3 linked regions of the Callithrix jacchus genome follow. The protein of the gene in region 1 purifies or fractionates together with the protein of each later gene. This does not show direct contact. Links are inferred from orthologs where the notes say so. Each region holds a gene or a part of one and is shown in the gene's direction. Other genes may lie near its edges.

Region 1 (7,742 bases):
TATTTCTTACAGAATAGTCTGTGATAGCTCAAGACTGGAAACAAGTCACATATTCACCAACATCCTGGGGTTCAGGAAATTGATACTTAGATACAACGGTGTGGTAGTTAGCTGTAAAAACCCTTCAATATATATTTTTTGGACCTATGTGTCAGGGACATTGGTGCTATACGTTCTCTGTGCCTGCCTCTTCAATTTTTCTTTCTTTCTTTTTTTTTTAAAGACCAAATAAAACCAAACTATAACATTTGAAGAAACACAACTGGGTGGGAGAGCCTCAAAGATTTCAAGGATTTGGGGAAAGTCTGTAGGAAGACTCCCTTAACCAAATAAATATTCTTCTCTGATTGACGCCCTGAAAAACCGGAATAGAAATGAAGGCAAGGCCAAATTTGAAGCTGGCTTTCTTTGCCAAGAATGATCCACTCCGGCACCGCCTATTTTTAGGGTGCGGCTGTCTGGATCGGGGACTGCTTCTGCGGAGTGTAACTGGAAAGGTTGGGGGAAGCAACAGCTGTACTTTGGGGCCTGCCTTGGAGCGCATCATCTGGGTTACTGAGGTCCCCTAGCGGCTGGCAGAGGAGGCCCAGACTGTCCAAATTTGACAGTAAACGTGAAGAGACCACTAGGCAAGGGTGGGAACCAGTCTCCACCCGTCCCCAATCCATCCGGCTCAGGCTCCCCACCCCACCCATTCCTAGTATCATTAAGAAGCTGTAGTGATAAATGGATCATGAAGAAACTGGGGCCCGGACTAGAGAGAGGATAGGAAGAATATAAAAGAAGAAACAGATCGCTCTCTAAATCTTTTTAACTTTTGTAAAAAGTTAAAAGGCCTAATTTTTTCATTTTCTCCTTTTTTTTCCAACAATCTCTCGTCCAACAGACTTAATTTTCTCTAGATGCTATTCTTTCTTTCTTTCTTTTTTTTAGACGGAGTTTCCCTCGTTACCCAGGCTGGAGTGCAATGTCGCGATCTCGGCTCACCGCAACCTCCGCCTCCTGGGTTCAGGCAATTCTGCCTCAGCCTCCCGAGTAGCTGGGACTACAGGCCCGTGTCACCACCCCCAGCTAATTTTTGTATTTTTAGTAGACATGGGGTTTTACCATGTTGGTCAGGATGGTCTCGATCTCTTGACTTCGTGATCCACCCGCGTCGGCCTCCCAAAGTGCTGGGATTATGGACGTGGGCCACCGCGCCCCGCCTAGATGCTACTTTTTCTATAGCAGAATTACTTGTAAGAAAGAAAGGGGATTTTTTTTTTTTTTTAAGAGTTGGAAGCTGTCCTTTTGGGCAAGATATTAAAAACCTTACTGTCCATCTTCTATTCTGAGTGGTCCCATCCCTCTAAAAGGAAATGCCTTCCATATTCTTCCTAAAAAAGCAAAGGCATAACAAAACAAAACTGGAAAACTGTTTCTTCTGCTCCCTGAGACACAAGGGCCATTATCTTCCTACCTTTGGCCCCACTGATCCTTGACAGGATGTCCTGGACCTGCAGCCCAGATGAGGAAAGATGGGGTGTGGGTGGGGGTTTGACTGACGCACACAGCAAGTAGCCTCAAGAACTTGGGGGTGGGGCAGGCTGCGCCCCAAGGCTTTGGTCCTATCCCCCGCCCCCCCCCGCCGTTTTTACTTAACACCCGATCACTTCCGTTGTAAATATAAAATAACAAACAGTTAAATTTAATTAGGGGTAGGTAGTAAAGTGTCTTGGTTCTCGATAACTGCGTTCCTAAGCCCTTCGCTGCGGGCCCTGAACTCAGTGGACGAAGCTGGAAGTTCCCGCCCAGGGGAAGAAGTTCCCACGGAGGGCAGGCGGTTGCGGGTGCCTTTGGATCCCTGTCTGCACTGAGACCGGAGTACCTCCTCCGGGCGCCGGAGTCCCAGTTCCTCACGTTTAGCCCTTTAAAAAAGGTCAAGGATACAGTAAATCCGGCTGGGGGCTGCTCGGCTGGGCGACGCGTCCGCAGCTAGACAGAAAGGCACAGGCTGAGCCCGGGGGTGCGGACAGGTGGGCGCGGGGCGCGGAGAAGGCACCCTAGGCGCGGACTCCACCGCGGGGGGCCGCGGCGCCTGGGGCGGGGGGCGCGTGCCGCCCGTGCGGGGGCCGGAGGACTTGACAGATCGCAGCGAAAGAAAACATTCAACCAAAACAAAACCCAGCGATTCCCCACGTTGCTCAGCAAAGACTTCGTGGGTGGAGCCAGGAGGGAGCTACTGGGTAGAATTCTGCGCGGCCGCCTCCGCCCGTCCACCCCGCGCCCCCGGCCCCCGGCCCTGCCCGCTCGCGGGACTCGGCCCGCAGCCGAGGTCAGGGCGTAGCGAGCGCCTCGTCCCACCCGGGCTTCCAGAGTACTCGGCTCTGCAGCTCCGTAGTAAACAAAGTGTCGCCGCCACCTCCACGCTGGTTTGCTTCCTAGCAATCAAAACACTGAGAAGGCGAGAGAATCACAGAAACACTCGAGAATTACCAGAAAATAACAGAGATCCAAAAAAAATAAAAAAGGTGTGTGAAAGAGAAAAACACCCCGCTACCCCCACCAGCCCACTGCCGCCTCCCGGCGGAAAACCGGGCCCCGCCCAGCCCGGAGCGCACTGGCTGCCCGGGCGGCGGTGCCGCGTGCCCATTGGCTGCGCGAACTGTCGGTCAGGGGCGGGCCGGCGCGCGCGTCGCCGCGGGCGGGGGGCGGCGGCAGATCCCGTAAGTCGGGCGGCCTCGTAGTTGCTGCAGCCGCCGCCGCCGCCGCCGCCACATTCAACAGGCAGCAGCGCAGCGGGCGCGCCGCCGGGCAAAGCGAGCGGCCGCGGCGTCCGTCCGTCCTTCCGTCCGCGGCCCTGTCAGCGGGAGCGCGGCGCAGGCTGTGCCCCGGCTCGGCGGCTCCGGCCCGCCGTCCAGTCCGTGCGGCAGACCCCGAGGAGCCTGGATGTGGATGGCCCCGCGAAGTTAAGTTCTGGGCTCGCGCCTGCACCCCGCCGCGCCTTCCTCCCAGTGTCCGTCCGCTCGGCGCACCGGCTTCGTCCCCCCAAATCCCGGACCGTCTCTTCGCGCCCCCTCGCCCTCTGCCCCCGGTGCTGCGCTCTTCCCCTCTCGGCTCTCTCGCGGCTGGGGGAGGGGCGGGGGTCACCATGGCCGAAGCGCCCCAGGTGGTGGAGATCGACCCGGACTTCGAGCCGCTGCCCCGGCCGCGCTCGTGCACCTGGCCGCTGCCCAGGCCGGAGTTTAGCCAGTCCAGTTCGGCCACCTCCAGCCCGGCGCCGTCGGGCGGCGCGGCTGCCAATCCCGACGCCGCGGCGGGCCTGCCCTCGGCCTCGGCGGCCGCTGTCAGCGCTGAGTTCATGAGCAACCTGAGCCTGCTGGAGGAGAACGAGGACTTCCCGCAGGCGCCCGGCTCCGTGGCGGCGGCGGTGGCGGCGGCTGCCGTGGCCGCCGCCGGGGGACTGTGCGGGGACTTCCAGGGCCCGGAGGCGGGCTGCCTGCACCCAGCGCCGCCGCAGCCCCCGCCGCCCGGGCCGCTGCCGCAGCACCCACCAGTGCCCCCCGCCGCCGCCGGGCCGCTCGCGGGACAGCCGCGCAAGAGCAGCTCGTCCCGCCGCAACGCGTGGGGCAACCTGTCCTACGCTGACCTCATCACCAAGGCCATCGAGAGTTCGGCGGAGAAGCGGCTCACGCTGTCGCAGATCTACGAGTGGATGGTCAAGAGCGTGCCCTACTTCAAGGATAAGGGTGACAGCAACAGCTCCGCGGGCTGGAAGGTGAGCGGCCTCGGCGCGCGGCCGGACCTTGGGGGCGCGGTGGGGCAGGCGAGGGCGCAGCTGTGCAGGTTTGCTCGGCCCGAGGGTGCGGGGCAGGAGGGCAGCGCGTGCCTAGGAGGGCGGGCGCGAATCGGTGGTCGCAGTGGGCTCGCCCGGGTCCGTCCGGGACCGCAGTAGGTGTGCGCGCGCGCCAGAGTCCGCGTGGGACGCGGACAGGGGTTCGTTGGGGAACTAAGTAAAGAACGTGCGTCAAGAAGTGGACGTCAGAGCGGCCGAAAAGTTTGCCAGTGAAAGGAGAAAGGGGTTCGCTGGGAGCGGCACCCCCACGGCCCGCGCTGACTGCTTCGGCTGCCCCTTCCCTCCTTGACCTCCGCGGGGCGAGGGCGGGTCCTCTCCCGCCGCGCCGCGAGGCTGTTTCCGCCGGGCGCGGCGGGGGAGGGCACGGAAAGGGTCCCCGGAGCCTCCCTGCCCCGGGACGGGGCTGCAGGTGGAGGGGACTGGCAGAGCGCGATCGGCTGGGGACGGTGTAAGTCCGGCCACGCAGTTTCGGGAGGCGGTGCGCATTTTGCTTTGTTTTGGTTTTCTCCGGAGTGGCCTCGAGTTCAGGGGGCCGGGCGTCCCGATCCCGAGGTGGCGCCTCCGACACGTGCGAAGGGGCGGCCACCGCCTGCGGAGCGCCGGCGCCCGGCCGCGCGGGGCGAGCTAAAGTTCAAGTGTGACCCTCGGCGGGGGCGGGCGCGGGCGGTGACGAGGGAGGGGCTCTGGGCGCAGGAAGCTAGTGCCTTTAAAGGGCCAGCGCGTCCGGGTCGGGCGCCTTGGGGCCCGCGCTTCCCCATGGGGGAAGCGCCCGAATCTGGTCTTGCCCCTGGTACGAGGCTTTTAGTTAGAAACACAGAGGCTGCCCTGGGGTGCCGGGGGCTGGGATGTGTGCGTCTTTTCCTGCCTTGCTCTACCCTATTCTTGAGCGGGGAGGTCCAGATGGGGGAGCTGGGGGCCAGACGAGGGGCTTTGCGACCAGTGTTTTGACGGAGTCGGAGTGGCGGTGCGCGTTGAGGGAGCGGAGCCTGGAAGGAGGATTTTTGCCTTTCAGAACGTGGCCAGGAGGCACTTCAGCGTGGGGGCAGGCACTTACCGACTCCGAGGAGGGCCTCGGCTAGGTCCGGGGAGGCTTCCCGGGGGCGAGGTCCAGTCGCCGCGCGGCCTCCCCAAGCTGACAGTTTCTCACTGTCACCGGTGGCAGAACTGCTGTAAAGGCTGACTAGTTGAGTAAACACTGTTTTTTGAGACGGAGTCTCGCTCTGTCGCCAGGCTGGAGTGCAGTGGTGCGATCTTGGCTCACTGCAACCTCCGACTCCCTGGTTCACGCGATTCTCTGCCTCAGCCTTCCGAGTAGCCGGGATTACAGGCAGGAACCACCACGCCCAGCTAATTTTTGTATTTTTAGTAGAGACGGCGTTTTACCATGTTGACCAGAATGGTCTCGATCTCCTGACTTCGTGATCCGCCCACCTCGGCCTCCCAAAATGTTGGGGATAACAGGCGTGAGCCACTGCGCCCGGCCGAGCTAAACACCTTTTAAAACAAACTTTCCTCGCCTCTCTTGTCGACTGTATAGCATAATAAAGATTGGTGTTTGCTGCGCAGTTGTTAAACCAAGGTTATTTTACATAGTGTCGTCCCTGTGGTTAAAGCGTGTCAAAAAGGTTAAGTTACTCACACCGTATTGAAGCTCCTGGAGGAGTTCAAGATGCATTTTATTTTTTCCAAAGTATGTTTTAGAGTAAAGGTATCACTTATCGCTTCATTACCAGGCATTACATGCAATTTTACCGAGTGTTTGAAAAAGGTAAAGTGCCTTCTTATCTTTAAGCTCAGCATATGTTCTTTTAAGTCACAAAATCGAAATTGTCTGCCAAGTCTTGTTTTACTTAACATTTGAATTTAAGTACTTGACTTACTTGCTCATCTATCAATTCTATCTCAGCTGTTACAGAGTATTAGCCATTAAATAAAATCCCGCCCCCCCCCTTTTTTTTTGCATTCAAAGTAGTGTATACTTACACCATTCTTTAGTCCTTGGAAATGGATACAACCTACTTCAACTTGCTGGAGTGCCTTTCTTGAAAGATAAAGGCAGTGTTTGGGATATTTTTAGTTTTGCGACTCAAATGGCGTTGTCAGCGTGTTAGTCTTGAACTGGGAATATAACTTATACTTTTTAAGATTTAGGTTTTTAAAAAATAGATTCTGATGTTAAATCATCTTTGCAACCATTTTACCAGGTTCTTGTTCTCATTTTTTTTTTTTTTTAAATGGGAGAATAATTTAGTGTTTTTATTTTTGTTTTTTTGAATTGCCAGAGCTAGGAGACCTGTTAAGGACTAACTGTCTAGAATTGGAGGCCGGCGGGCGGCTCCCAGGGGGAGCCTAATGGGGCTTTGCTCTGGAGTCAGGCTGCTTCTCAAATGAGTAAATGTTTCAGGTGTACGGTCGGTTGATTTAAGTCGGATTACAGCAAGTGCTTTTTCAGTTTGAGTAAAAGAGTATTTTAAGAAGAAAAGAAACAACCTGAGCTGTTCTAACTCATAACTAATCTTCTGGTTAGAGTTTCATAAAAACGAGTTACTTGTTAAAACCAAGTTTCGCTCAGATCTGAAAGATTCCTGTTCTAAGATTCATAAAAGAGAAATTTTATTATGACTTTTAACTTAAATCCAGTTTTTAAATGCAAATCAACCAAAACTTACCTGTTTTAGGACCGAGAAGTTGCTTTGGAACAAAATATTTCCTGTGATTTACTACTGGGAATTAGGCTGAATCTTAAATAGTTTCTTGTGTGCTACTTCCTGGGGACTGCCTGAAAGTTTGAGTCATTTGCATAGGACAGACTAGTTAGGAAGCTGTTAATGAATTCAAAAACTTTTAATGTCATTCTTTAGATAGTTAAGTGCTGGTTATATTTGAAGGATATGCATTTTGTGTTTGTGGGGATGATATGTTAAATGTCTTACACTTGTTTTAATATTGGCTAGAATTGCCATAAAGTCACACACAAGGTGGAACCTAAGGCTTTTGGGAAAACCTGGGATCTTCTAAATCTAGTGCAGTATTTATAAATAGTGAAACTTCATTTTCATGACCTGTTTTCTCACATAGAAAGCCTTCTAAAACTTGGGAAGTGGTATTGTGAACTCCGAATTTTAAAATAAATGGCAGTTTTGAGTTGACTCTTTTGTTTTGATATTATTTGGAACACTGCTTAGGTTAAAAGAATGACTTGATGCCACTTAACTCTGGATACAGAAATTGTTTCACTAGAGGATACCTCTTTGATTTTAATTGAAGATAAAGCTTTTAATCTTTTTTTTTTTTTTTTTTTTTTGAGACAGAGTCTCCCTCTGTCGCCCAGGCTAGAGTGCAGTGGCACAATCTCAGCTCACTGCACCCTTGGCCTCCCTGATGAAAGCGATTCTCCTGCCTCAGCCTCCCGAGTAGCTGGGACTACAGGCGAGTGCCACTACGCCTAGCTAATTTTTTAATTTTTAGTAGAGACAGGGTTTCACCATGTTGGCCAGGATGGTCTCAAACTCCTGACCTTGTGATCCGCCCACCTTGGCCTCCCAAAGTTGCAGTGCCTGGCTCCAAAGCTTTTTATCTTTAAGATAAATTTTTAATTTGGAGTTACATTTCTTATATTTGGCCTAGGAACTGAGAGTGGATTTTCTTATATTTTAAAGTAAATATTCTGTAATTTGGGTATGATCTGTAGGTGAGTAATTTAACCAGCCACAGAAGTCCCGTTAGAAAGATGGCTGCTTTTCTTGTTGCATGGTCACATTTGACCTAGAGAATCCTGGTGAGATTGAGTGGTTAGAGGATCTGAGCCATCTTTCCCACTTCTGGATTGTCACTGAAATTACCTTAAAGAAAGTCTTGATAATCCTTTATACGTATTTGGGGAAATGAGAATGAAGAAAGAATTCAA
Region 2 (7,794 bases), on another chromosome or scaffold:
GAACTCTTTATTTCCAACTAGGCTACAATCTTTTTCTTACTAATTAATGAGAGTCCTTTAAAAAGGAAATATATCTTCATGATACTATATAATAGAGTTAAGTTCATTCAGTGGGTGGATTCTGATAAAAACCAGTGTGAAAATCACTCCTATGCTACTCTGCAACCTAGCTTTGGTAATAAAAGCTTGCCTCTTCATTCCCTTGGGAACGTTCCTCACTTAGAGCCTCAATCATTACCACTTGACCTATAGGGTTGAAACTTTAGATCAGTGTTTCTCAACCATGGTACTGTTGAAACTTTGGCTGGATAACTATTTGCTGTAGACAGCTATTCTCTAGATTTCTAGAACGTTTAGCAACACCCCTGGCCTCTATCCACTGGATGCCAGTAGTACATCCTTCTTGCAGGTGTGACAACCAAAAATGTCTTTGAAATGTCAAGTGTCCTCTGGGGGATGGAGGGCAAAATATCCCAGTTGAGAACCTGATCTAGGTTTGTATACTGCTGGCGGAAGTCAGGTGCATTACTAAACAGTCTATTTGCCATAGTTTGAAAATTTCACACAGCTACCCAAATGTTGTTTGATAAAGTGAAGAATACTAAGTTCTGTAGGAAAGTACACCATTTGTCTTTTTTTTTTTTTGGTGAAGTGGAGTCTTGCCCTGTCACCCTGGAGTGCAGTGGCATGATCTCAGCTTACTGAAACCTCTGCCTCCTGGGTTCAAGCAATTCTCTTGCCTCAGCCACTTGAGTAGTTGGGATTACAGGCATGCGCCACCACACCTGGCTAATATTTTGTATTTTTAGTAGAGACAGGGTTTTACCATGTTGATCAGGCTGGTCTCAAACTCCTGACCTCGTGATCTGCCCACCCTGGCCTCCCAAAGTGCTGGGATTACAGGGGTGAGCCACGACGCCCGGCCAACACTTGTCTTCTAACGTAGTGAAAAAGACAAAATAGGCAGGAGGATGCCTTGAGGTCAGGAGTTTGAGGCCAACCTGGACAACATAGCAAGACCCCATCTCGATTAAAGATTTTGATAGAAACGCTGTGCTCCAGGCAGATGCCATAACAAACACTGGCTCTAGATCTACCGTGGGTTATATGAGTCCTTAGTTATGGTTAGCTATGGAGTCACAGTGTCCCAGAATTTCAGGGAGGGAAGAAAGTAACTGGAAAGGCTTTCCAATAACGCTTTTGAACTACTAGGTACCTTTCATTTTACACTAGGTTATCTCATTTAAATCTCACCATGACCCTGCAAAATACGTATTATTACCATTTAAGACATGAGAAAAATTGTGTTTAGAAAAGGCTACATAGGTCCAGGCGTGGTGGCGCGCCTGTAATCCCAGCTATTCAGGAGGCTGAGGCAGGAAAATCGCTTGAACCTGGGAGGTGGAGGTTGCAGTGAGGCGAGATCGTGCCTCTGCACTCCAGCCTGGCGACAGAGCAAGCCCCCCCCCCACCGCCCCGTCTTAAATAAATAAATAAATAAATGGGCCAGGCGCAGTGGCTCACGCCTGTAATCCCAGCAGTTTGGGAGGCCGAGGCGGGTGGATCACAAGGTCAAGAGATCGAGACCATCCTGGTCAACATGGTGAAACCCCGTCTCTACTAAAAATACAAAAAATTAGCTGGGCATGGTGGCGCGTGCCTGTAATACCAGCTACTCAGGAGGCTGATGCAGGAGAATTGCCTGAACCCAGGAGGCGGAGATTGCGGTGAGCCGACATCGCACCATTGCACTCCAGCCTGGGTAACAAGGGCAAAACTGCGTCTCAAATAAATAAATAAATAAATAAATAAATAAACAAACGGCTACATAGATAGCTCATGCTAGAAAGGAAGGACTCCAAATTTTAACCAAGCGCAGATGTGCATGGAGGCCAAGTCCTTTTCCTTCCATACTCTCCTCATACTGACCCAACACACCCATTCTGTACGTGAGAAAACTGAGCCCCAGAGAAGGGAATTCACACACGCTTGAAGCCAAGCTGGGGCCAGAATGCAAACCAGCTGATCTCCAAACCCTCGTGTCAAAGGTCGTCTTCCCATGAGGACATATGCCTTAAAGGATCTGACAATCTATACCACCCTACAAGTGACGGAGAGGGGCAAAAACAACCGACTAAGGAGAGAAGCAAGGAGCAGAAAAAAGCTAAAGAAGAACTGTGAGAATGGTGTGCTTGTGAGGAGGGTGGGAAGGGAGCCGCCTCCTTTTGCCTCTCTTCCTACCCATTGACGAAACAGAACGGCTATCCAGCGTATTTAAGGGAGCTGAGTCTTAGCCAGCTTCATGTGTGTTTTAACCCTTAGCTAAATCTAGACAAGGCTAAGGCAGGCCAGGTGTACACTTGAGGCAGAAGTAAAAATTCCCAGTGCGGACCAAAACTGGAGTTGTTCGGGCGGTAATGATTTGAGGTCGGTTTGAAAGAGAAGCTGAGAAAGCGGCCGAGGGGCGAATTTGGCTGCACAACACGCCTGTGCCACAGAAGGGTACGGCCGCGGGCCGCCGGGGCACAGTTTCCTACCAGCTCAGGCGGAGTAGTAGACGCAGCTGCCTCCGCCCGCCACGTGACCCGTAGTGTTGTGGTCTGGCCCGCGTGGGTGGCGGGAGCGCCTAGAGGGCGGGGGTGGCGATGGGGCGGGTCACGTGACGGGGTTTAAATCTCCCGCAGCCGGAGCCGCGGGGGCGCCAGTGCCGCGCGTCAAGCGGGAGCAGAGGAGGCGACGGAGGAGGGCCAGAGAGGCAGTTGGAAGATGGCGGACGAGGCGGCCCTGGTCCTTCAGCCCGGCGGCTCCCCCTCGGCGGCGGCGGCCGAGAGGGAGGCCGCGTCCCCGCCCGCCGGGGAGCCGCTCCGCAAGAGGCCGCGGAGAGATGGTCCTGGCCCCGAGCGGAGCCCGAACGAGCTCGGTGGGACGGCCCCGGAGCGTGAGGTGCCGGCGGCGGCCGAGAGCTGCCCGGCGGCTGCGGCGGCGCTGTGGCGGGAGGCGGAGGCAGGGGCAGGGGGAGCGGCGGCGGCGGGCGGGGAACAAGAGGCCCAGGCGACGGCCGTGGCTGGGGAAGGAGACAATGGGCCGGGCCTGCAGGGCCTATCTCAGGAGCCACCGCCGGCTGACGACTTCTACGACGAAGACGACGACGACGACGACGACGAGGGCGACGAGGAGGAAGAGGCGGCGGCGGCGGCGGCGATTGGGTACCGAGGTGCGCAGGGTGCGGGCTGCCGGAACTGCGCATCCCCTCCTCCCTCTCCCGGGGATCTTCCTGGCGTGGGGTTGAGGGGGTCTCTGGGACGCGCCGGAGACTCGGGGCAGGCTCCGTGGCGTTCTCTTCCCCACCACGGCCCTCCGCTTAATTGCGCTCCTCCGGGGCTGCCGTTCCTGCTGCGGGAGCTGCGGGTGGATTCGCTTTTTCTCTGTCTGTGGCCGGCCTGGGAGGCCTTGCGCTTTGCGCAGCAGCCAGGTCGGGAGGCTCTCGCAGTCGCTTTAAAATAAGTTTTCTCTTTTCCCTCTTACTCTTTTAGCATATTGCTTTTGTTAGAGCTTTTTTTTTTCCCCCTTTTTTTTGGGGGGGGGTTGCTTTTTTCTCCCCGCCCTCCCCCCAGGACACTTAAGTCTGCAACTTTTTGCTGTCCCCGTTCGTCGGCATTTTCAATTACTTTTTGCAATCTGACACTTGTGCAATTTGCTTTTTTTTAGGGTCTATATTTTTATGCCTGAAATTACAATTTTTAAAAGAGCAAAGCTGTTTCTGTAGTCACAGCCTGCAAAATATAAAGAACATGGCTGTTCCTGAAGACATTACCATTCTGTAATGCAGTTAGTAGTGGGCATGGGAGAGTCATACTACTTTTAGAGCAGTTCGTATTACTTTTATTTTAATCTTGCTCTTGTGTACGGTGACGGTGTTGAGGCGAAGCATACTCTTTTGTATGTATGTACTGAGACACATTTAACATTGCTAGTATAATGAAGCAGATATGTTGCATTTGTCGTGTTTTTGAAGGTTTTATATTTTTCATCTGAGGAATTTCTATTTTTGAGAGGTGTTCATCTTTATCAATATTTGGGTCAGGCCGGGCGCAGTGTCTCTTTCTTGTAATCCCAGCCCTTTGGGAGGCCAAAGCGGGAGGATCTCTTGAGCCTGGAAGTTTTAGACCAGCCTGGGCAACATAGTGAGACCACCTTTCTACTAAAAATTTTTTAAAAAGATTAGCCGTGCATGGTGGTGCACAGTTGTAGTCCGAGCTACTGAGGCGGGAGGATCTCTTGAGCCCAGGAGTTCGAGGTTGCAGTGAACTATGATCGCGCCACTGCACTCCACGGTGGACAACACAGTGAGACCCTGTCTCAAAAAAAGTAATGTGTGCCTTTTTTTATTATTATTAATTTTTTTTAAAATATAGAGATGGGGTTTCATCACGTTGGTCAGTGTAGTCTCGATCTCCCGACCTCAGGTGATCCGCCCGCTTCGGCCTCCCAAAGTGCTGGGATTACAGGCGTGAGCCGCTGTGCCCGGTCAAGAGACCCTGATTTCAAGCAACACAGTTGAATGCTAATTTAATAATTGTGTTGTTAATACTGTTTATTATTTAATAGAGGAAACAATTCAGAGATACCTATGTTTAGTATTATATGAATTTAAAGTGCACTTTGCCAGTTTTATTTGAATGACATTTTTGTGTAAATTTCCATTTATTACAAGTTTCACGAACTCTATTGTTTGTGGTTGATACTTTCTATATGTTACTATCTTTTCTGTTTAAGTAGACTTAATTTATTTTTAGATTTTGGCCGAAACTTTTAGAGTCAGAGCAGAATTCCTAAATATGAAGAAACTGTACCTATGAGAAGTGCAAGCCGACCCCATAGCATTTACACATACAATATAAATGTTAAATGCTTAATGAAAATGATTACACTATAACCCTTTATGGGTCTTCATACATATTAGGTGCACATTGTTTTGGTAGTCTTGGCTGACTTTTGGTTTGTTTTGCAGATAACCTTCTGTTCGGTGATGAAATTATCACTAATGGTTTTCATTCCTGTGAAAGTGATGAGGAGGATAGAGCCTCACATGCAAGCTCTAGTGACTGGACTCCAAGGCCACGGATAGGTATGGCTCAGAGCTGTTAACTTAAGAGAGTAAATGTATGCTTTTTGTTGTTGTCCTTGTTGGTTTTTTTGAGACAGTCTCACTCTGTCGCCCAGGCTGGATGGAGTGCAGTGGTGCAATCTGCAACCTCCACTTCCTGGGTTCAAGCAATTCTCCCGCCTCAGCCTTCTGAGTAGCTGGGCTTACAGGCACCCACCCCCATGCCTGGCTAATTTTTGAGTTTTTTTTTTTTTTTTTAGTGGAGACAGGGTTTCACCATGTTGGTCAGGCTGGTCTCAAACTCCTGAATTTGTGATCCGCCCGCCTTGGCCTCCCAAAGTGCTGGGATTACAGGCATGAGCCCTTGTGCCCGGCCTTTTTTTTTTCTTCATCCAGTTAGACTGTCTTTCTCACTTACTTCATATTTCTTGTTTTTTTCACTTTTATACTTATCACTTCTCAACAAGTGCTATATCTTACATTGTATTGTTTCCTGGTCTAGAATATGTAAGTTTCACAGGAGCAGGAATTTTTTTTTTTGTTGGGGGGGGAGGGGTCACGAAGTTTTGCTCTTCTTGCCCAGGCTGTAGTGCAAGGGCGCGATCTCAGCTCACCGCAGTCTTCGCCTCCCTAGTAGCTGAAATTATAGGCATGCGCCACCACGCCCGACTAATTTTGTATTTTTAGTAGAGACGGGTTTCTCCACGTTGGTGAGCCTGGTCTCGAGCTCCCAACCTCAGGTGATGCGCCTGCGAAGCCTCCCAAAATGCTGGGATTACAGGTGTGAGTCACTGCATCTGGCCAGGGATCAGGTATTTTCGACTGACTTGTATACTGTTGTTTTGTCAGTGCCTAAAATGTGCCTGGCACATAGTTTGTGCTCAACAAATATTTAATAAACGTGAGTAAATATTTAATAAATATGTGAATGAAATGGGAAAATATTTTGTAATAGAAAGCATTTTTAGATTTTTATACCAAAGGTAATAACATAATCATCTTGAAAGTGGATCATCTTTTTTCTTTTCTTTCTTTTTTTTTTTGAGATGGAGTCTTTGTCTCTGGAATGCGGTGGCCAACCTTGGCTTACTACAACCTCTACCTTCTGGATTCAAGTGATTCTTATGCCTCAGCCTCCTGAGTAGCTAGGATTATAGGAGCATGCCACCATGCCCAGCTAATTTTTATATTTTTAATAGAGACAGTTTTGCCATGTTGGCCAGGCTGGTCTCGAACTCCTGACCTGAAGTGATCTGCCCCTCTCGGTCTCCCAAAGTGTTGGGATTACAGGTGTGAGCCACCTCTCCCAGCTGAAAGTGAATCTTTACAAATGGTTTGATTATTTAAACAGTAAAGATTAGTTTCTCTTTGGTGTCTGTAGTTTTATTTAAATATATATATATTTTTAATCAACTAGGGAGCTGATTTCAGCAATTTCAGGGTAAAAGAAAATGATTAGGCTGGGTATGGTGGCTCACGCCTGTAATCCCAGCACTTTGGGAGACTGAGGCGGGCAGATCACCAGGTCACGAGATCAAGACCATCTGGCTAACACAGTGAAACCCAGTCTCTACTAAAAGTACAAAAAAAAAATAGCCAAGCTTGATGGCACGTGCCTCTAAACCCAGCTTCTCAGGAGGCTGAGGTAGGAGAATCGATTGAACCTGGGAGTCGGGAGGTTGTGGTAAGCCGAGATCGAGCCATTGCACTCCAGCCTGGGTAGCAAGAGCGAAACTCTTGTCTCCAAAAAAAAAAAAGGAAAAGAAAATGATTAATTCTCAGAACAACAACATCGTATGTATTATCTTGCAAGATTAGTTAAGGTCAAATTGAAAAATTACCGGAAAAATAATTAAGCTGGCAGTTATGTATAGGTTTTCATTTCTTTTTCCTGTGTGGTTTTAATGGTAAGTAGTATAGGCTTTTAGGTCTGGTACGATCTTTTCTGTGTTGACTTGTAGCAGCTTTTTGTAAATACTTTTGTGTTATTGTGGTGTATGTTTCTAGATTTTAACCATAAGAACTTAATTTTGGTTGTTAGGTTCTTAAAGTATGTATTTAGAGCTCAAGGGGGTCTCCCAACTCTGATTAGATCTTCCTAGTCTCATTGGGATATAGCATTAATTATGAGTGTGTACTAAGAATGAAAGACCATTAAATTACATTTTCTTTGCAAAAAATTCTCACAGATTGCTAACTCATTACCTCAGAAAATAAATGAGATTGTGAATTATTTGACAAGTTGACTTGATCTAAGTCTTTTCCCTCTTATTGTAGGTCCATATACTTTTGTTCAGCAGCATCTTATGATTGGCACAGATCCTCGAACAATTCTTAAAGATTTATTGCCGGAAACAATTCCTCCACCTGAATTGGATGACATGACACTATGGCAGATTGTTATTAACATCCTTTCAGAACCACCAAAAAGGAAAAAAAGAAAAGATATTAATACAATTGAAGATGCTGTGAAATTACTACAAGAGTGCAAAAAAATTATAGTTTTAACTGGAGCTGGGGTATGTAAGACTAGTAAATGGGGGAAGTGGTAAATGTATTTTCTTATGCCTTTTCCAAGTAGGAAACATTTTTCTGGTTTAGGAGGATTTATCCTTACATGATAATGGATGTTTGGAAACTGCCAAAAACTGAGTGTAGCAGCAGTTGCTAAATTAGTTCAGATTTTT
Region 3 (7,786 bases), on another chromosome or scaffold:
GGTGGCGACCCTCACCCTCATAGTTTTCAGCCTCCAGCTGTAGCTTCCACTCCTCCTCACTCTCCTCTTCTTCCTTCTCCAAGTCAGAATCGGGGTACAAGGTGACAGGGGTATGGTTGGTGTCGGGATTGTGGTCTGGGCCATGAGCGAGGTAGGTGTCCGGGGCTTCCCTGGGCCGCCGAGGGCGGGGCTGAAGCAGGGCACGGGCACAGGCAAGTGCCCCCACACGGCAGGCCAGGTGTAGCGCCGTGTGGCCCCCACGCTCTGCCACGCACAGCCCAGCGCCTGCTGCATACAGCTTCTCCACCGTGGATGCCTCCCCCAGGATGGCTGCCAGGTGCAGGGCCGTCTGCAGAAGCAGAGGACAGGCAGTAGGGAGTCACACTGGGAACCCCAGACCCCAACCCCTACTCCATCCCCTCGTGGCTCACCTGGCCTAGGTCATTCTGCAGGTCCATGTACTCAGTGCCGGCTGAGAAGCCTAGAAGAAAATCCAGGAAGGGTTCGTGCTGATGAATCACAGCCAAATGCAGTGCCCTGGGGACAAAGACTGGGGTCAGAGGGCAAAATTCAAGTCCTCTTGCATTCCTTCATTCAACAAACATGGGGTGGCTACTGTATGCTAGGCTTTGGGACCACAGTTCTGGAACCCACTGTCAGCTATCTGGGAGGGTCAGAGAGGTCAGAGTTTCATCAGCAAATTTGTGGAACCAACAATGTTTATTCAGTGGGATTTCCACTTCTGCCCAAAATGAAGTAACATGGACCAGACTTCCCTCCCACAAGAAACAAAGAAAAATCAGACGCAATACGGTATATGAAGCAACAGTGTTGAAGACGCTGGACGTCATGCAATGAATCACAGTGGCCCCCGAAAGACAGGAAACATGAGGTGGGCCCTACACTTGACTGCCACAGCTTATGGTCTTGAGAGCCACGGTTGAGAGAGGGGACCCCAAGCAGAGCCCATCAGGTTGTCTGAGGTCAGGAGATGGACATGGAGGAAGAGTCTGTAGAGACCAGGCTTGCAAGAGTCACAGGACAGAGTTGTTGGCCAGGCGCAGTAGCTCACACTTTGGAGTGAGCTAAGAATCAAAGACCAATTGAAAACTAAAATAAAATTAATGAAACCAAATTAATTAACAAAAATTAATAAACCTAAAGCTGGTTCTTTGGTAAGATCAGTATTTATTAACTGCTTCCTGGGACAGGCACTGCCTGCATCACTGGGCATAGGGCAGTAAACACAACAGACAAAAAAACCCAGTACAGTCCCTCATCTGGGCCTTTGCAATTGCAGTTCCTTCTGCCTGAAATGCTCTTATCTTGTTTATCTATTGCCTCATTTTCCTGCTTTATTTTTCTCCAAAGTACTGACAACCTGTGACTTTCTTTCCTTCTCTTACTTTCTGTGTCTTTCTTTCTGCATGTCTTTGTTTCTTTCTGTCTTTCTGTTTCTTTCCTTCCTTGCTGTCTTATCAATCTGTTTAGCCCCACTAAAATAAAACGTCTCCTTCACAAGGGCTTTAGTTTTTTGTCTGTTTTCTTCACTGCCTTTATCACTAGCACCTAAAACGAAGCCTGGAATGTGGTAATATGTAAAGAATATTTGTTCAACAGATGAATCCTTGGTTTCATGGAGCTTACATTCTTTTTTCTTTTTCTATTTTTCTACTTCAATTAGGAATTCAACATAGGAGAACTTACATTCTCACTCTTTTAAGACTTGAAGAACACTGCTCAGAAAACAAGATCTTAGAGTCAGGGACCAAGTATTAATTTCGGAAATCAGTCTAAGGCTCACATCAGGAACTAAGAATCAAAGATTATATTTGGAGGTTCGAAGTCAGGAGAAGCCACAGTTCTAACAAAAGCCTCAGGACTGGAGTCGGGTTTGGGTATCCGTGGACAGAATGTGGATTCCAGGAGCTGAGAATCATAGTTCAAGAAAGGAAGGTCTGAAATGATTGGGTTAGCATCACAGCTGGATAGAAGATTGGTTTTGTTAAAAGTTAGGACTCAGGGGTTACAGGTCAGGAAGTTCAGCATCGGAAATCAGATTTAGGAGTAGGAGGTTAGGAAGCCTCAGGGATCAGAAACTAATGGGGAATCAGACGCCGGGTCCTAGGGCTCCGTTTGGCAACCTAAGGTTCACTCACGTGTCCCCATCCTCAGTGACGTAGCCGAAGACAAGGGGCGCCCACGACAGCCCCGGGCCCAGCTCTGCGACCAAGCCCGGTCCTCCGGGGGCCGCTGCGTCCGGACCCAGGGAGCCCAGGCCGCTGTCGCACCATTCATCTGCGTCGGCAGCTTTTCCCAAGCACGCGACCCCAGCCATGGCCCCCGCCACCTCAGGGGCCCCCCGCAGTCGCTTGCCTGGAGCTGGGCTTTGCCGGCAGTTCTGGCGCTTCCGCCCTGCGGGAAATTCCCCACCACGCCCCCTAATTCATCCAATGATAATATGCTGAATCGCTCGCGCCCTACCCTGGTACCATATCGTGACCAATCAGAGTATTTGGGAGGACTACGACTCACTAGCCGTTTTTACATTTTCCGGGCGCCCTTTACCAACATGGCTGCTGACGCCGCGCCTTCTGGGACTCGAAGTCCGGCCCTAGCGCGCTTTCTTACCTAAGTCTGGGGCGCTCTGGCTGTCGTACGAAAGCGCGGCTTCTGCCGCAATGGCTACTGGGAGTTGTAGTTCTAAGCCCTATCCCGGCCACTCCCATTTCTGGTGCCGTCACGGGACAGAGCAGTCGGTGACAGGACAGAGCAGTCGGTGACGGGACACAGTGGTTGGTGACGGGACAGAGCGATCGGTGACAGCCACGAGGGCTTCAGCACCGTGCCCATGGCAGAGCCAGACCGTGAGTCGGGGACCCGGGTGGGAGGGTCGGGCCGCGCCGGGGCCTAGCTGAAGGCTGCAGGCCCCGGGGCCCGAGGGCGGCCGCTGCGGGGCGGGAAGTAGGGAGCGCTTCGGATAGTGGGATTCTGAGGGTTGTTGCTAAGCGATCTGTATCGCTAGGCTGGTGGGTTTCTGGGTCGCAGGTTGTTCGGGGTTGGTTTATCACATCCGCTTGCCAAGTTGCCAATAATGGCGTGTTTTTCGTATCTTGGTTGCTGAGGACCCTCGCTGCAAAGAACCTAAGTTGCCGCGGTCCCTGTTGCTAAGGGTACCTAATTGTTAGAGGCAACCGGAGGATGCTGAGGGACCCCTGTTGTCCCCTCCTATGGCTTCCCTTCGTATCCGCGCCTCTCCCAAACCTACCGCCTCCACTGCACCACTGCACCTCCCTCCCAGACCTGCCTCCCAGCCGAAGCGTCCCCTCCCTTCTCCCTTCCTTTCTAAACTTCCCTCTGCCTTGTAAACCTAACCCTCCCGCACACACACTCACACTGCTGCGTCCTTCCTAACTCCTCCTGAGTGTTCCTTCATGCCCTGAATCCCCTAGGCAGGAGGAAGGAGGATCGCTTGAGCCCAGGAGTTTGAGGCTGCAGTGAGCTATGATCGCACCATTGCACTCCAGCCTGGGTGACATGAGCCAGGCCCTTTCTCTAAAAAGTAAAAGACAAAGAAAGTCAGGGCCAGACACAATGGCTCATGCCTGTAATCCCAGTACTTTGGGAGGCCAAGGTGGTTGGATCGATTGAGCCCAGGAGTTCAAGACCAGCCTGGGCAAAAGCCCCTACTTCTCCCTGTCCTCCTAAATCTTCCTCCCCAGCCTCTCTGCCCCTCACTAATCACCTCCCCGGGCACCACTTTGCATGCGGATAAGATATTTTCTCCCATCCCCTCTTTCCCTCTGCTCCAATTTTACCACCACCCCGTCCCAGTGTAACTAGGTTGGTGGGTGTTCTTGCCCCCTCACTGACAATTTGAACCCTTGTGTTCCCCCCTTAATCGTTCTCCCTACTGTAACCACCTCTGCTCCCCTCCCCCAGCCTCTCACCCTCTGGAGACCCAGGCAGGGAAGGTGCAGGAGGCTCAGGTGAGATGGGGGAAATGGTGGAGGGGAGGAGAGACATGGACTTGTTCCACATCCCATGCTGGGGGGAGGTGGCAAAGGAGAGACAGTCACCCCAGGGCCCTTGGCTCATTGTCCCAATCCTCACGCCACCCAGGGCAGCTTTATGGGGACAGGCAGATTCTGGGGATTGTCACAGAAGAGTTTGCAGTCTCGAGTCCAGGCTTGCCCTCCCAAACTCTCCTCCTTCCTTGCCACTGCCTCCCATCCCTTCTAAACCAAATTTGTCCTGGGCCTGGAAGAGACAGGTGTCCCATTTGGTCTTGGAACACACAGATCTCATGGACAAGTAATGGGAAAAATGATCCGACAGCCTGATGATGAAAGGAACTCAGGGTACGGGCGGGGGAGGCAGGTGCAGTGGCTTATACCTGTAATCCTAATAACTCAGGAGGCTAAGGCATGAGGGTCACTTGAGTCCAGGAGTTTGAGGCTGCAGTGAGCTATGATTGCATAGTGACACTCCACCCTGGGTAAAAGAGCAAGACCCTTTCTCTAAGAAGTAAAAAAGAAAGAAAGAAAGTAACTCAGGGCCCGACACAGTGGCTCATGCTTGTAATTCCATTACTTTGCGAGGCTAGGGTAGGAGGATCGCTTGAGCCCGGGAGTTTCAGACCAGTCTGGCCAACATAGGTGGCCCCCATCTCTATAAAAAATTTAGAAATTAGCCATGTGTAGTGTTTCATGCCTGTAGTGCCAGCTACTCAGGAGGCTGAGTGGGGGGAGGATTGCTTAAGCCCAGGAGGTTGAGGCCGTGGTGTGCCATGATTGTGACATTACACTCCAACCTGGGTGACAGAGCAAGACCCTGTCTCAAAAAAAAAAAAAAAAGGAATAAAAAGAAAGAAACTCAGGGCACTGTGGGAGCACAGAGAAAAGTTTCTGGGTCAAAGAAGATTCCAGCCAGACCAGTCCCTGGAGGAGTCTGCAGGCTGGTCTAGCCATCAGACACAGCATAAGTGAAGAGTGACTTAGAATTTTCTTAGACAAGGTGAGAAATGGTGGTTCACACAGCAGGTACAGCTTGTGCAAAGACCTGACCTGGGGGCATGAAGGAGTGTAATGGTGTGTTCCGTAATTGGGCAGCTGGTGGTGGTCAGCTTGTGATAGTCGTGGTTAGCGTTGACTGACAGCTTACTTAGGCTGGGCACTGTTTAGTGACAAATGTGCCTCATCTCATTTCATCTTCCTGGCATCCCTGTGAAGAGAAATGCCTATCATGGCCATTTTACAGTTGCAGAATTTGAGGCAGAGTTGTTAAGTCACTTATCCTCTGTCCCTAGGTGACAGGAGTAAGGAAGGGTTTGAGACCGGGCATGGTGGCTCACGCCTGTAATCCCAGCACTTTGGGAGGCCAAGGCGGGCAGATCACTTGAGGTCAAGAGATTGTGACCATCCTGGCCCACATGGTGAAACCCCGTCTCTACTGAAAAATACAAAGCTTGTAGTCCCAGCTACTCAAGAAGCTGTGAGGCAGGAGAATTGCTTGAACCTGGGAGGCGGAGGTTGCAGTGTGCCAAGATCGCTCCACTGCATTCCAGCCTGGTACCTGGTGGCAGAAAGAGACTCTGTCTCAAAAAAATAAAAATAAAAATAAAAAAAGGAAGAGTTTGAGTCCCCCAGCACTGGGTGCACTGCCTGCCAGCAGCTGCCAGGAGAGGTGGGCAGGCAGTCTCATGGGAGCCTGAAGGCACCTGCCAGCACCTCCAGCTCTCCCTTAGGCCAAGCTGCAGGGACATGCTGGGCACAGGCCCTCCACAGAGCCTCACTGTGTACAGCCTGAAAGAGTGCCAGCCCACCCACACCCCCGAGATTGCCTTTCAGATGTGGGGTGGTGCAGAAGTGGGCATCAGAATACTTCACAAATGCACAGTGGAGCCATGCTGAGGGTATAACAGCCTCCTGTTAGACTGTGGCAAGTCACTCGCCTGGCCCCCAAAGCACCACCACTGTCAGAGAAAAAGGTTGAATGTGAAAAAGGAGCCTCAGTCCCAAAGAGAGAGATGTAAAATGCAGCATTGTCCGTCACAGGGCCAAACTGGAAACAGTCCAAATGGCTGTCAGTGGATGGGTTAAATGAACTATGGTTCATCCATACAACCTAAATCTATGCAGCTGCTGTGAAGAATGAGGTGAGGCCAGGCACGGTGTCTCACACCTGTAATCCCAGCACTTTGGGAGGCAGGAGGATCACTTGAGCCCAGGAATTCGAGAACGGCCTGGGCAACATAACAAGATACTGTCTCTCTTTTTTTTTTTTTTTCGAGACAGAGTCTTGCTCTGTTGCCCCGGTTGGAATACAATGGCATACTCTCGGCTCACTGCAACCTCTGCCTCCTGGGTTCAAGAGACTTTTCTGCCTCAGCTTCCCAAGTAGCTGGGATTACAGGTGCGTGGAACCACTTCTGGCTAATTTTTTGTTTTTTAGTAGAAATGTGGTTTCACCACGTTGGTCAGGCTGGTCTTGAACTCCTGACCTTGTGATCCTCCCGCCTCTGCCTCCCAAAGTTCTGGGATTACTGACTAGCACCGCGCCTGGCCCACTGTCTCTTTTTTAAAAAAAATTTTTTTCTTTTTGAAATTGCATTTGACCCAGCAAAAAAAAATTTTTTTAATGGGATGGGCCTGTAGTATATTGTTCTGCAGAAAACTCAAGATCTTGCATCATTCTGTGACCTATTTCTGTAACAATAATTACTTTTATACAGAGAAAACTGGAGTAATTACCATTAGGCATAGTTAACAATGGTTATCTTTTTTTTTCTTTTTTTCTTTTTTTTTTTAAGACGGGGTTTCACCATGTTGGTCAGGCTGGTCCTCAACGCCCAACGTTAGGTGATCCGCCTGCCTTGGCCTCCAAAGTGCTTGGATTACAGGCGTGAGCCACCTCACCCGGCCAACAATCGTTATCTTTATAATGGTGAGCTTGGGCAATTACAAGGCAAATGCCCCCCTTGCTGAAGTATACACGAGTATGGTCAAGGTTTTGCAGAGGTTGTCCAATCTCTCTTTCTCTTTGTCTCTCTGTCTCTCGTTCTCTCTCTCTTTAAATAGAGACAGAGTCTCACTGTATTACCTAGGCTGGTCTTGAACTCCTGGCCCCAAGCAGTCGTCCTGCCTCAGCCTCGCAGAGTGTTGGAATTACAGGCATGAGCCGCCGTGCCCAGCCTAGGTTGTGCAATCTTAAAAAGCAATTTAAAAAATTGTCCTGTGTTTGGAAGGGAGGGTCTTATTCAAAAAAGTCTGGACATAAGGCAGTGAGTGGCCGGCGAAGGGGGTTGTTTGAGGGGGTGGCTTGGTCCGAACTGCATTTTGGTAAAATCCATGGCAGGGCCCAGCTGTGGCCCAGCCTGGAGCAGGCATTCATTCCGTGGTGGAGGGTTCTGGTGCTCCTGCCAGGAGCTAGACCCTGTTCTCAGTGCTGGGCATTCAGTGGTGAACACGAAGCCCCTGCCCTTGTGGACGTCCTGGCAATTCCACAGGTATCTGGGAAGACTAGAGAAGACACAGAGAAGGGTCTTTGAAGTGGAGAGGAGCGGGCTGACCCAGACAGCCTCCCGTGCAGGGCAGCAGGGTGGATGAGGTGGAGACTGAGGCTGGGAAGCTGGGTGAGGAGGCTGAGGTAGGACCCTGGAGAAGAGGACAGGCTAGACCAGGTGGAGCCCCAGGGAGGAAAAGGGGGTTGGCAGACAGACCCTTAGGCAGCTCCATGCTCTGGAGCTGAAGGGTTGTGGCAGGAGGATGAGGAAGGAGGCAGGAGC

The links. Proteins that work in one complex are often made in the same cells at the same time.
Region 2: the proteins of FOXO1 (region 1) and SIRT1 purify together in Homo sapiens (affinity purification with western blotting; 5 studies listed by BioGRID and IntAct, with this or other methods). This does not show direct contact. The link is inferred for Callithrix jacchus from reciprocal best matches to the Homo sapiens genes FOXO1 and SIRT1.
Region 3: the proteins of FOXO1 (region 1) and SIRT2 purify together in Homo sapiens (affinity purification with western blotting; 3 studies listed by BioGRID). This does not show direct contact. The link is inferred for Callithrix jacchus from reciprocal best matches to the Homo sapiens genes FOXO1 and SIRT2.

The regions. Positions count from the first base shown.
Region 1 is NC_133506.1:159,845,811-159,853,552, reverse strand, and holds the start of FOXO1 (forkhead box protein O1), read left to right. Parts: upstream 1-2,698; 5' UTR 2,699-3,130; coding exon 3,131-3,757; intron 3,758-7,742. UniProt on the Homo sapiens protein: Transcription factor that is the main target of insulin signaling and regulates metabolic homeostasis in response to oxidative stress.
Region 2 is NC_133513.1:62,526,504-62,534,297, reverse strand, and holds the start of SIRT1 (NAD-dependent protein deacetylase sirtuin-1), read left to right. Parts: upstream 1-2,757; 5' UTR 2,758-2,766; coding exon 2,767-3,214; intron 3,215-3,257; exon of another isoform or gene 3,258-3,472; intron 3,473-5,011; coding exon 5,012-5,128; intron 5,129-7,384; coding exon 7,385-7,626; intron 7,627-7,794. UniProt on the Homo sapiens protein: NAD-dependent protein deacetylase that links transcriptional regulation directly to intracellular energetics and participates in the coordination of several separated cellular functions such as cell cycle, response to DNA damage, metabolism, apoptosis and autophagy.
Region 3 is NC_133523.1:34,457,038-34,464,823, reverse strand, and holds the start of SIRT2 (NAD-dependent protein deacetylase sirtuin-2), read left to right. Parts: upstream 1-2,749; 5' UTR 2,750-2,851; coding exon 2,852-2,867; exon of another isoform or gene 2,868-2,973; intron 2,974-3,942; coding exon 3,943-3,989; intron 3,990-6,811; exon of another isoform or gene 6,812-6,942; coding exon of another isoform or gene 6,943-6,945; intron 6,946-7,786. Other genes in the region: NFKBIB (NF-kappa-B inhibitor beta), read right to left, coding at 16-349, 432-537, 2,160-2,338. UniProt on the Homo sapiens protein: NAD-dependent protein deacetylase, which deacetylates internal lysines on histone and alpha-tubulin as well as many other proteins such as key transcription factors.